Linked DNA regions of Macaca fascicularis. The protein of the gene in region 3 purifies or fractionates together with the protein of the main gene of each other region. This does not show direct contact. Links are inferred from orthologs where the notes say so. Each region holds a gene or a part of one and is shown on either strand. Other genes may lie near its edges.

The links.
Region 1: the proteins of DDX39A (region 3) and THOC1 purify together in Homo sapiens (affinity purification with mass spectrometry; 3 studies listed by BioGRID and IntAct, with this or other methods). This does not show direct contact. The link is inferred for Macaca fascicularis from reciprocal best matches to the Homo sapiens genes DDX39A and THOC1.
Region 2: the proteins of DDX39A (region 3) and API5 fractionate together in Homo sapiens (co-fractionation; 3 studies listed by BioGRID, with this or other methods). This does not show direct contact. The link is inferred for Macaca fascicularis from reciprocal best matches to the Homo sapiens genes DDX39A and API5.

What each region holds. Positions count from the first base shown.
Region 1 is NC_088392.1:68,930,662-68,934,308, reverse strand, and holds part of THOC1 (THO complex subunit 1), read left to right. Parts: intron 1-1,023; coding exon 1,024-1,132; intron 1,133-2,479; coding exon 2,480-2,611; intron 2,612-3,098; exon of another isoform or gene 3,099-3,647. UniProt on the Homo sapiens protein: Component of the THO subcomplex of the TREX complex which is thought to couple mRNA transcription, processing and nuclear export, and which specifically associates with spliced mRNA and not with unspliced pre-mRNA.
Region 2 is NC_088388.1:22,512,100-22,516,401, forward strand, and holds the start of API5 (apoptosis inhibitor 5), read right to left. Parts: upstream 2,809-4,302; 5' UTR 2,680-2,808; coding exon 2,611-2,679; intron 1-2,610. UniProt on the Homo sapiens protein: Antiapoptotic factor that may have a role in protein assembly. Negatively regulates ACIN1. By binding to ACIN1, it suppresses ACIN1 cleavage from CASP3 and ACIN1-mediated DNA fragmentation. Also known to efficiently suppress E2F1-induced apoptosis.
Region 3 is NC_088393.1:14,840,918-14,844,564, forward strand, and holds part of DDX39A (ATP-dependent RNA helicase DDX39A), read right to left. Parts: intron 736-3,647; 5' UTR 732-735; coding exon 524-731; intron 189-523; coding exon 61-188; intron 1-60. UniProt on the Homo sapiens protein: Helicase that plays an essential role in mRNA export and is involved in multiple steps in RNA metabolism including alternative splicing. Regulates nuclear mRNA export to the cytoplasm through association with ECD.

The DNA.
Region 1 (3,647 bases), on a different chromosome or scaffold from region 3:
GGCGGATCACGAAGTCAGGAGCTTGAGACCATCCTGGCTAACACGATGAAACCCTGTCTCTACTAAAAATACAAAAAATCAGCTGGGCGTGGTGGTGGGCACCTGTAGTCCCAGCTACTCAAGAGGCTGAGGCAGGACAATTGCTTGAACCCGGGAGGCAGAGCTTGCAGTGAGCCAAGATCACACCACTGCCCTCTACTCCAGCCTGGGCAACAGCGAGACTCCTTTAAAAACAAAAAAAAAAAATTAAAAGAATATGTATTGACACTGTAGATTTGTGACATATCAAGATTAGAAGTTGAATTAGTAGTGCCATAATAAAGTCACTAGAGAAAGGGCTTATTTTTGTGATGCTAACTTGATATGTACCATATATGTTTATCTCATACTAATGCTTCTTAGGATATATTATTAGTTAGTGACTGTTAACATAGATTCAGATTAACATCGGTTTAAACAACATAAAAGTTGATTTTTTTCCCCCTCATATCGAAGTCTAGAAGCAGGCAGTCCAAGGCTGGTAAGGGAGCGCTGCTCAGTGAGATTGCCTAGACCCTGGTTTCTTCTACCTTCTTCTTCCATCATCTCTTGGTGTTTGCCGTTTTTCCTGTAGTGCAGGGTGGCTCACTCTCACATCTACATTCTAGCCAGCAGGAAGAGGAAAAGGCCAGTGATAAAATATGGCCCAAAAGTTGCACATATGACTTCTGCTCCCAACTGATTGGCCAGAATTTAATCACATGATCATACTAGCAGCAAGATTGGTTGGGAAACATAATCTTTAATTCTGAATAACCATGTGTCCTTCCAAAATTCAGGGGCTCCACCAGTGTAGATAAAGAGAGTCTATTGGGGTCTGTGAGTTCCCTAAAATGATTTGTAAAAGTTTATATAAGTATTTGTGAATGTGTACTTTTCTGATAACTTTCATTAGCTTCTGAAAATGGTTTGTGACCAAAGCTAAGAATAGATATTTGTAAAAGAATTTGAATGATTTATGTAATGTAACATTTATTTTATTAGCTCTATTCCAATTGATTACAACCTGTATCGAAAATTCTGGTCACTTCAGGATTACTTCAGGAACCCCGTGCAATGCTATGAGAAGATTTCATGGAAAACTTTTCTCAAGGTGAGTTGCCAGTGACAGACTGTCAGAAGCCTAGTATTTTATAGCCAGTGATAGAGCTAAAACTTACCCTTGTCTAACATACTTTTCACTATTTTATTCTACCTCTTACATTTTTATACCAATTTCATAACAAGCTAAATTACAAATTAATATTTAAACCACTATTATTGTGAAGTAGTGTGTAAGAATCGGATATTTAAAAGTCATTACAGCCTTGCTTTTTTGGAATATAATGAGTGTTATCAACATAAATTGATGATATTTTGCAGAATATATTCTGTCTTTGTACAAAATTATTTTAGCTGTCTTGTTGAAACAGAAGTCCTCAAGTCATGGCCCTGGGCCAGATCTGACCTACTGCTTGTAAACAAAGGTTTATTGGAATACTACCATGACCTCCACTTACCTGTGGCTGTTTTTGCACTCTAATGGCACAGCTGAGTAGTTGCAACTGAGACTATAAAGGCCACAAAGCCTGAAATAATTACTCTCTGGTCCTTTATGGAAGAAGTTTGCCAATCCTGTTTTAGAAGAATTTTTTATATTTTTCTTGGCTACTTAAAGATCAGTTATCCTTTTTTGTTGTAATCAAAATATAAGATAAGTAGGTAGTTCTCAAAGTAGCGTGGTGTGTGTTATGTTATTTTTAATAGTTTTTGTTTTGTATGCAATTTTTTGTGGGGGCAGCACCATCCAAATTCAGATTAAGTGGTTAGTGAGAAATAATCTGAAATTGTCTTCTAACTGAACAGAATTTGATGGAATTTATTTGCTCAGTCTTTAGCACAAGAAATACATAAGAGTTTCTACAGGTAGTTAAACAATTTCACTGGTAAATTCCTATACACTCTTAAAAGTGTTCCCTTCTCTGTTTGTCCCTTACACAAACTTCTTAAATCATATTTCTTTTTTTTTGGAGACGGAGCCTCCCAGGTTCGAGGGATCCTTTAGCCTCAGTCTCCCGAGTAGCTGGGACTACAGGTGCCCGGCTAATTTTTGTGTTTTTAGTTGAAACAGGGTTTCACCATGTTGGCCAGGCTTGTCTCAAACTCCTGATCTCAAGTTACCTGCCCACCTCAGCCTCCCAAAGTGCTGGGATTACAGGCATGAGCCACCGCAACTGGCCAAGAAATCGCATTTCTTTAGGAGTAGGGAACTTGTTCCTACTTTTACAACAAGTGAAATATCCACAATAGTTTTTACTCCCATAATTTTTATTGTTAGTGTGCCTTACAATATACAATATACATACATGATTGAGAGTAAATTCTAGACATTTTGATGCAGAAAAGCACTAAACAAATTTGGGTAACAATGTCGAATAAAACTAACATTTTTATTTTGCAGTATTCTGAAGAAGTTTTAGCTGTTTTTAAGAGTTATAAATTAGATGATACTCAGGCCTCAAGAAAAAAGATGGAAGAATTGAAAACAGGAGGAGAGCATGTATATTTTGCAAAATTTTTAACAAGTGAAAAGGTATAAGTTTTTCTTTCTCACTAAGCATAATAAGAAATGGTCTTGTTTTATTTCTGTTTAGCTGACAGCCTTTCTAACTTAAATTGAATAGAAATGTTTCCTATTTTTACTTTGGGTTAAAGCTGATTAATGTTACTTTGAAAGTCCCATTTCTTCCTTTCACAAGTAGGACTAATTTGATTTCAAAGGTGAAAGTAATTCTACATTAAGTCTGTTTTGTAGACTAATTTTGGAATAAATGCAGTTTAATTACTTTCATGTCTATATATTTTAAACGTCAAGTTAGGATTTAATTTGTATATGAAAATAATATTTCATAATATTTAGGTACAAGTAAGGGGTTTAAAAGTTCCTTGTTAATCTTATTTATACATTTTAAAAAGTAAATTTTGTTCAAATATAATGCTACAAGATGATGTAAAGTTTCTAGTCAAGATGGCACATTGAGTTTATGTTTCGACTCACTCCCTTTGCTCCAAACACATAGCAATGACGGGTAAAATATAAATGAGAAAACAAAAGAGACAAGGCTGGGCTTCCACAAACAAGATAAATATCTTCATGGACCAGAAATGCCAAGTAGTGAGCAAAACTGCAGCCTGGGCCTGCTGGACTCTCTATCCAAGGCAGGTGGTGGTGTCCAGGAATTTGGCTACAAGTAACAGAGACTAAATGTGCACCATGTGGGACAAGGGGCCAGAGCCAGTTTCGCTTCTTGAAGCCAAGGACTAGGGTGGAACTTTTATCCACTTTTGGAAAGAAACTAAGAAAAAAGATTGCCAGTCTTCTGCCAAGGGCTATGGTTTTATAGGAAGTTGTGAGCCTAGGGATAACAAAGACAGCTTTGTGTCCATCTGCTTGCTCAGTGACCAGATATGTGATATGCTAAGTATACTTATGAAGCAGCTGCTGTAAGAAGTCATCATAAGACTTATTCTAGACTTTTGGACTCAGGGGCCCTGGTAGAAGCAGATGCAGAACTGCTAGAAAGGGAAGGATGTACACAGAGAGGGAGGGGAAAGGAAGTAAACAAACA
Region 2 (4,302 bases), on a different chromosome or scaffold from region 3:
AACAGAGCAGAATTAGTAGGCATTATCTTTGGTTCTCCTAAAATTCACAGTTTGAGCAGCCTGAGCTAATCACTACATCTCATTATGCAGAGAGTTTAGATAGTTGCTTGACAGCTGTCAATACAGAACGCATTGATGACCCATAATCTACAGGGAACTGTGTTAAATTCCAGCATCCAGCCGGGTGTGTGGTACATGGTAGGTGAAACCTACCGAATAAAGCATGAATTCTCATTAAAGTGTAGACAAAGTTATCCTTTTCCATTTTTTCACAAACTTGTCTCAAGTACCCTTACTAAATAAAGAGTACATTTTTGCTGCAAATACATTTTTGCTGCAAGAAAGACATTTTGACTCCTTGGGGGAGAACTCTCAATTCAATCTGGTTTTTATAAAGATGACATGAGAAGGAAATGTAAGCAAATCTCAAAATTAAAGTAGGGGAATGGGACAGCATTATCTATACGGTTTCAAAGGCTTCTTAGAAAGATTCCTGACAGAACCACAGTTCTAGCTTTCACCCTATCCCCTCTACTGATGTGCAACAAAATCAAACACAGGTAGAACAATTTGTTACAAAGTTACCCAACTAAGTCCCAGAAAAATTATACGATTGAGAATATCTTCACTACTAGTTCTTTTTAGGAATAACAAATTCAAACTGATCCTACATAGTTTTTATCTTTTTTTTTTTTTTAATTTTTTGTTTGAGATGGAGTCTCATTCTGCTGCCCAGGCTGAACTGGAGTGGCCTGGTATCAGCTCACAGGAACCTCTGCCCCCTGGGTTCAAGTGATTCTCCTGCCTCAGCCACCCCAAATAGCTGGGACTTCCGGCGCACGCCACCATGCCTGGCTATTTTTTGTATTTTTAGTAGAGATAGGAGTTCACCATGTTTGCCAGGCTGGTCTCGAACTCCTGACCTCAAGTGATCTGCCCACCCAGGCCTCTTAAAGAACTGGGATTACAGGAGTGAGCCACCATGCCCGGCAGTTTTTATCTTCTTAATGAAGAGAATATTCCTCCTTCACAACCGACCTACACACTCTGTCCACATGTACAACAGAATATCCGTATACATTTCTCACTGATAATAGTGAAATTCCCTACTGACAGGGAATGAAGGGAAAAAAAATCATCTGCTATTTCAAACTGGTACATTCACAATTCTAGATTAAGCTACAATAAAGCTCCAACATGATTTTTTTTTTTTCTTTCAGCTCAGAAAGGTCTTATTTGAATTATGTTCAGAAAAGGGGACGGGAAAGGTACTCCCACGACTGTTAATAGACTAGAATCTTCCACTTTCTCCAAGAAGGGATGCGTAAGCAGAAAAATCACAAAGTTCTAACTAAGCACTGAAAAGCTATGGTGTGGGATTTCTAAAACAATTATCAAAGTTGCCTCTAGGACTTCCTGGTTCTTTTCCCAGCCACTTATCAAGTTCAATGTACTCCGCTACTTGAAAACTCATACAGGGAACAAATGGCTCGTACGGATAATTCACTGCTGAGAAACTGTGTATCCGCGGCAAGCATGGCAAGAGCGCTCTTCCAGAGAACTCCATTCAGAGCTGCACTCTCACACACTCCTTCGCCCAGCCCTGTTTTATTTTCTTCAAACACGTTTCATTAAAAACGATAAATAATAATTTTAAAAAAACCCCCTTTTTTTTTTTTTGACGGGGTCTCGCTCGGTTGCCCAGGCTGGAGAGCAGTGAAGCGATCTCGGCTCACTGCAACCTCCGCCTTCCAGGTTCAAGCAATCCTCCCACCTCCGCCTCCTGAGTAGCTGGGATTACAGGCGCGCACCACCACGCCCAGCTAATTTTTGTATTGTTAGCAGAGACGGGGTTTCACCATGTTGCTCAGGCTGGTCTCGAACTCCTGACCTCGTGATCCACCCGCCTGGGCCTCCCAAAGTGCTGGGATTACAGGCGTGAGCCACCGCGCCGGGCCTCACAATGCCTTTCTTATTCATCACTCACTACACTCCCTCCTAACTGTACATTCTGAGAGCGCGCGGACCTTTCCATCTGTATCTCCAGCGCTCGGCGCTCAAAAAATGTACTGAATAAATGAAACCGTGAGCCTTCATCAAAGTCTGGACCAAAGAGTCCCTCTTCTGTTTCTTACAAACTTCTGTCTCCTAAACACTCTTCTTCAACTAGTAGCAGAATTTTGCCTCCAAAAAAACAAAAACAAAAACAAAAAAACAACACATCTTGACCTCTTGAAGAAAACTCCCGATCTAATCTTGTTCAGAAAAGGGGACGGGAAAGGAGAAAGGCTTAACAGAATACTGTAGAGGAAAGCCCGGGAGGAGAATTAACGTGAGCCTGAACAGGCTGAGTTAGGTTACGCCAAGGTGGGAAAAGGCTGGGCGAGGGAGGCAGGGAAGCCTGGAACCCTGGGGACCGCGGTCTCCCTGGTGAAGCCAGAGTCTACACTCCCAGAGAGGCCCACCCCGACGAGACGGCCTGGGGAGGTTAGGAGCTCCCCCGGGAGGATGAAGCCGCAGCCCCCGCCCGGCCCGGGAGAGCGCGGCGGGCTGCGCTTTGGAAAGGCCGCGGAGCGCCGGGCCCTGCAGGCCGCCCGGGGACTCACTCACCTGGCCCACTTGCTCCGTGGCATCGGCCAGGATGCCATAATTGCGGTAAAGCTCCTCTACCGTCGGCATGGTGAGCGACAAGCCCAGGGCCCGCTTCCGCTATCCTAGTCCTCACCGGCGCCACCGCCGCCTCGGAACTTCTCCAACCCCACTACCTGCACTATTACACCTCCAGCTGCCGCCAGTGCCGCCGCCAGTGCCGCCGCCAGTCACCGCTCACAGCGCGGCTCCGCCCCCGACGTCTACGTAAAGACGCGCACGTCGGGAGCGGCCTTCAGTAGACTCCAATGCGCCTCCGCGATTTTTGTCGCCCTCTAGAGCTTGGAGGAGCAAAAAGCGGCAAGGATGATTGGATTATCTCACGCCTTTTTGAAAGCTTGAACCTGACTGGAGGCTCTCGATGGGAGGGGTGGGGGTGGGCGGGGAGATTAATACAAAGATAATCGCGTTTCTGCCCTTAGAGGATCTTACATATGAGAAGTCACAAACGGTTTCCTCCTGATTCAAGGAAGGTAATATTAATCAGTGGCAATAGAGGGTAGTGGGTCCGGTGGGAAGCAAAAAGCATTCCTATGCCATTTAAAAACCCTCTGTGTCCACCACGCTAATCAAGTGTGGGGTCAAATTCGGCCTGCTGGAAGAATTTGCATATCTTTGCTGCCAGTGTAAAGAATTGGGGCCACCTGATTATGTATAGTATCCAAGAGAGTAATAAATAAATGAAATCACGTACGCTTACTGATAAGAATTTCTAAGATACAAGTTTAGATGAAATTTTATATATATATTATATAATTATCATGTCTATATATAGCTGGGCGCTGTGGTTCGCACCTGTAATCCCAGCACTTTGGAAGGCTGAGGTGGGTGGATCACTTGAGGTCAAGAGTTCAAGATCAGCCTGGCCAACATGGTGAAACCTGGTGTCTACTAAAAATACAAAAATTAGCCAGGCATGGTGGCACGCACGTGTAGTCCCAGCTACTTGGGAGACTGAGGCAGGAGAATTATTTGAACCTAGGAGGCAGAGGTTACAGTGAGCCCAGATCATGCCACTGCACTCCAGCCTGGGCCACAGAGCAAAACTCTATCTCAGAAAAAGAAAAAAAAGTTAAAAAGCAGGTATAAGATGATCCCATTAGGTAAAACATACAAAGCATACAAAACAAAGTTATGTGTGTATGTGTAAAAGGATGTTAAAGGATGTTAAAATTTCAAGATCGAAACATCAAACTCTAATACACTGTAAATTTCAAAGCCAGATCCACTTGTACAGAATATACACAGGAAATGATTACTAAAGAACTCACTGGCTCTTGTACTTCTCAGTTAGATTGAGGATAAATTTCCAACCCTAAAAAGGATTAGAGCTGAGTGTGATAGCCAACAGTCCCCGCTATGTGGGAAGCTAAGTGAGGAGAATCACTTGGGCCCAGGAGTTCAAGTCCAGCCTGGGCAACATAACAAGACCCCTGTCTAAAAATAAGAAATCAAGTGTAAAATTCAATGTTAAAAAAATTACAATTTGGACTTTCATGGAGAAACAGAAAAAGAATTAGGGAATGAAATGAGAGCAATTGGTGATAAGATTTTTTTATTTTTATGTTTTAGAGAAAGATGTTCTTGTGAGTACATTGAGGGCAATTTCTATCCCCTTCCCTCAAGCGTGGGGCCATTTTGAGGAGCCTGAAA
Region 3 (3,647 bases):
AGCCCCTCTACTTCGGCCGCCACAGGTAGGGTGGGGCTGGGAAGGGAGGAGCCCACCCACCTGTCCGTTAACAGGCTCAATCTGCTGTAGGGTGGCCAGCACGAAGACCGCTGTCTTGCCCATCCCAGACTTGGCTTGGCACAGGACGTCCATGCCCAGGATGGCCTGGGGAATGCACTCGTGCTGGACTGCAGGAGAAGCAGAGCGTGAGAGACGAGAACCTGGACACACCCCCGTGCAGGCTGCTCACCAGTTGACCAGGGGGCCCACAGTGAGGGCAATCAGAAAAGGCCAAGTCCGGACAAGGCCACAGACACCTGCAGGGCTAGGGTATCTGCCTGGTCAAAGCAGAGCACCCCGGTGCTGAGAGCAGCCATAGGCCCTGCTGGGCACAACTGATCCAAGGGGTGGGCAGGCCCCTCCCTCACCCACGGCACACTGGAGGCAGCACCGCTCTGGGCGGGCAGGGCTGGTCTTGTCTTGGTGAGGACCTGGGCAAGAGGATGACACCCAGAAGGCGTACCCTCAGACGGATGCTCAAAGCCACAGTCCACGATGGCCCGCAGGAGCTCCGGCTTCAGCAGAAAGTCCCGGAAGCCAGAGCTGTGGATGGAAACGTAGGATCCCTTGATGTCTTTCTTAGGGGGAGCCGGTGTGCTCTCTTGAGGAGCCTGGGGCTCTTCCTCTTCATCGTAATCCAAAAGATCATTTTCCACATCCTGTTCTGCCATGATGCTGAGAAGAGAGAGAGGCAGGGTCCCGCGAGTGGGCACAGAAGGATGATGAAGCTTCATTCAAACGGCATTCTCTACCACCTCCTTCCATAAGCCAGCCTGTCAGCTCCACCTGGGCTGCATCTCGTAGCTTCGCCCTGTCTTCACCTCCGCACCCCCAAGCCACCCTATCTCTCCCCCATGCCCCGCTTGCCACACCCACAGACAGAACACCCTCCACCTCCAAGGGCTTCCCATGGCTTGCAGAGTTAAAATCCCAACTCTCACCACAGGTCAGGCAATCCCCTTGGTTTGACCCCTGCCCACCTCATCCCACACCACCCCCAGCCTTGTTCAGCTGCTCAGACCCCTGGAACTCCTGCCCCAAGCCTTTGAACCCGGTTGTCACCACCAGCAATGCTCGGCCCCCAGGTCTCTGCACAAATGCCTTCTTCTCCACACGCAAGCCTCAGCTCCAGTGAACCTCCTCGGGCTACCTAGCCCAGAGAAGCCCCCTCCCTATCACTCCGCAAGGAACCCACTGGGCTTTCATGGGGCAGGAGCCCAAAGACCCCAGGGGTAGGGCTGCCAGGATGCTGGCGGGAACTAAGTTTGCAAGAGAGCAAGCAGTATCTGCCCAGCCCCAGCTTCTCCCGCTCTCTGTGGTCTGCACAGGGGAATAATTAAGTGCTCTCATGAAAGGCCTCCTATTGGGCCTGGGCCAATAAAAATAAAGCTGAGAAGATGGAAAATGGAATTAATACAAAGTCTGCCTACCTCTTTGCTTTATTAATCTAATGCATACCAAGTGCCTGCTGGGTGCAAGGGACCCAAACATGAGGACAATTGTCTTATATCCTCCTCCCCTACCCCAGACTCCAGTGGGGGGTGGAGCAGAGGGCTGCAGCTGATACAATTCTTCCTGAGGCTGGATGCTGAGGATCCTAAGCCACTTCTGGCCCCACTGTCACTCAATCCCAGCCCAGAAACAGCAATTCCATTCTCTCAATGGCTGTTTTTTTCTCTCTCAACATCCCTGTCCATGAGGCAGTGAATCCCATCAAGGCCCTCTGGCCAGTTCTCACCTATGCTACCATGCTGGCCCCAATGTGCTATCACCTGTTTTTTATTATTATTGAGACGGAATCTTGCTCTGTCACCCAGGCTGCAGCGCAGTGGCACCTCGGCTCACTGCAACCTCCGCCTCCAGGGTTCAAGAGATTCTCCTGCCTCAGCCTCCTGAGTAGCTGGGATTACAGGTGCTTGCCACCACGCTCAGATAATTTTTGTATTTTCAGTAGAGACAGGGTTTCACCATGTTGGTCAGGCTGGTCTCGAACTCCTGACCTCGTGATCCGCCCGCCTAGGCCTCCTAAAGTGCTGGGATTACAGGCGTGAGCCACTGCGCCTGGCCTTGTTATTATTATTTTTAATTAGAACAGCTTTACAGGCCAGGCGTGGGGGCTCACGCCTGTAATCTCAGCACTTTGAGAGACCAAGGCAGGCGGGTCACCTGAAGTCAGGAGTTCCAGACCAGCCTGACCAACATGGTGAAACCCCATCTCTACTAAAAATACAAAAATTTAGTCAGGTGTGGTGGCAGGCGCCTATAATCCCAGCTACTCGGGAAGCTGCTGCAGAAGAATCGCTTAAACCCGGGAGGCGGAGGTTGTGATGAGCCAAAATCATGCCACCTCACTCCAGCCTAAAAAAAAAAAAAAACTTCACAGAGATATTTACACGCTATACAACTCACCACTTAAAGCAGACAATTCAGTGGTTTTTAGTGTAGAACCAACATGTGCAACCACTACCACACGAGCAATTTTAGAATACTTCATCACCTTGAAATAAAAGCTCCTGTACCCTTTACCCATCCATACCCTAAATACCCCACCCCAGCCCCGGGCAACCACTAATCTGCTTTCTGTTTCTGTGGATTTGCTGGTTGTTGTGGATATTTCACATAAATGAAATCTTACAATTTGTGACATTCTGTGTCTGGTTTCTTCACTCAGCACAATGTGCTCCAGCACATCATCAGCACTCCCTTTTTTTTTCCCCCTCTTTGAGACAAGGTCTTGCTCTGTTGCCCAGACTGGAGTACAGCAGCCCAATCAAAGCTCACTTCAACCTCTGCCTCCTAGGCTCAATCAAGCGATCTTTCCACCTCAGCCTCCCTAGTAGCAGAAGCTACAGGCACCCACCACCACTAATTTTTGTATTTGTAACAGAGATGGGGTTTCACCATGTTGCCCAGGCTGATCTCCAACTTCCGGGCTCAGGCGATCCACCCCCCTTGGCCTTCCAAAGTCCTGGGATTACAGGTGTGAGCCACCACACCCGGCCTCATTTCTTTCCATGGTCACCTAATGTTCCTTCTCATCAATATACTACATTTTGCTTAACCACTGTCAGCTGGACATGCAGAGGCCATCATCTCTTGGCTGAATTAAGCCAACAGCCTCCTCCCTGGTTTCCCTGTTGCCATCCCCCAGCCCCTCCCCAGAGCAGCCAGAAAGATCCTATCAAACTGAGTCACGGCCAGGCCCAGTGGCTCACGCTTGTAATCCCAGCACTTTGGGAGGCCGAGGCGGGCGGATCACCTAAGGTCAGGAGTCCAGGACCAGCCTGACCAACATGGTGAAACCCCGTCTCTACTAAAATAACAAAAATTTGCCAGGTGTGGTGGCGGGCACCTGTAATTCCAGCTACCCGGGAGGCTGAGGCAGGAGAATCACTTGAACCTAGGAGGTAGAGGTTGCAGTGAGCCAAGATCACACCACTGCCCTCCGGCCTGGGCGACAGAGCAAGGCTATCTCAAAAAATTTAAAAAAAAATTTAAAAAAAAAAAAAAGCCTGAGTACATCACTGCTCTGCTCAGAAAACTCAAGTTTCCACACAGCCAGCCTACCAGGCCCCTCCTGATCTGAC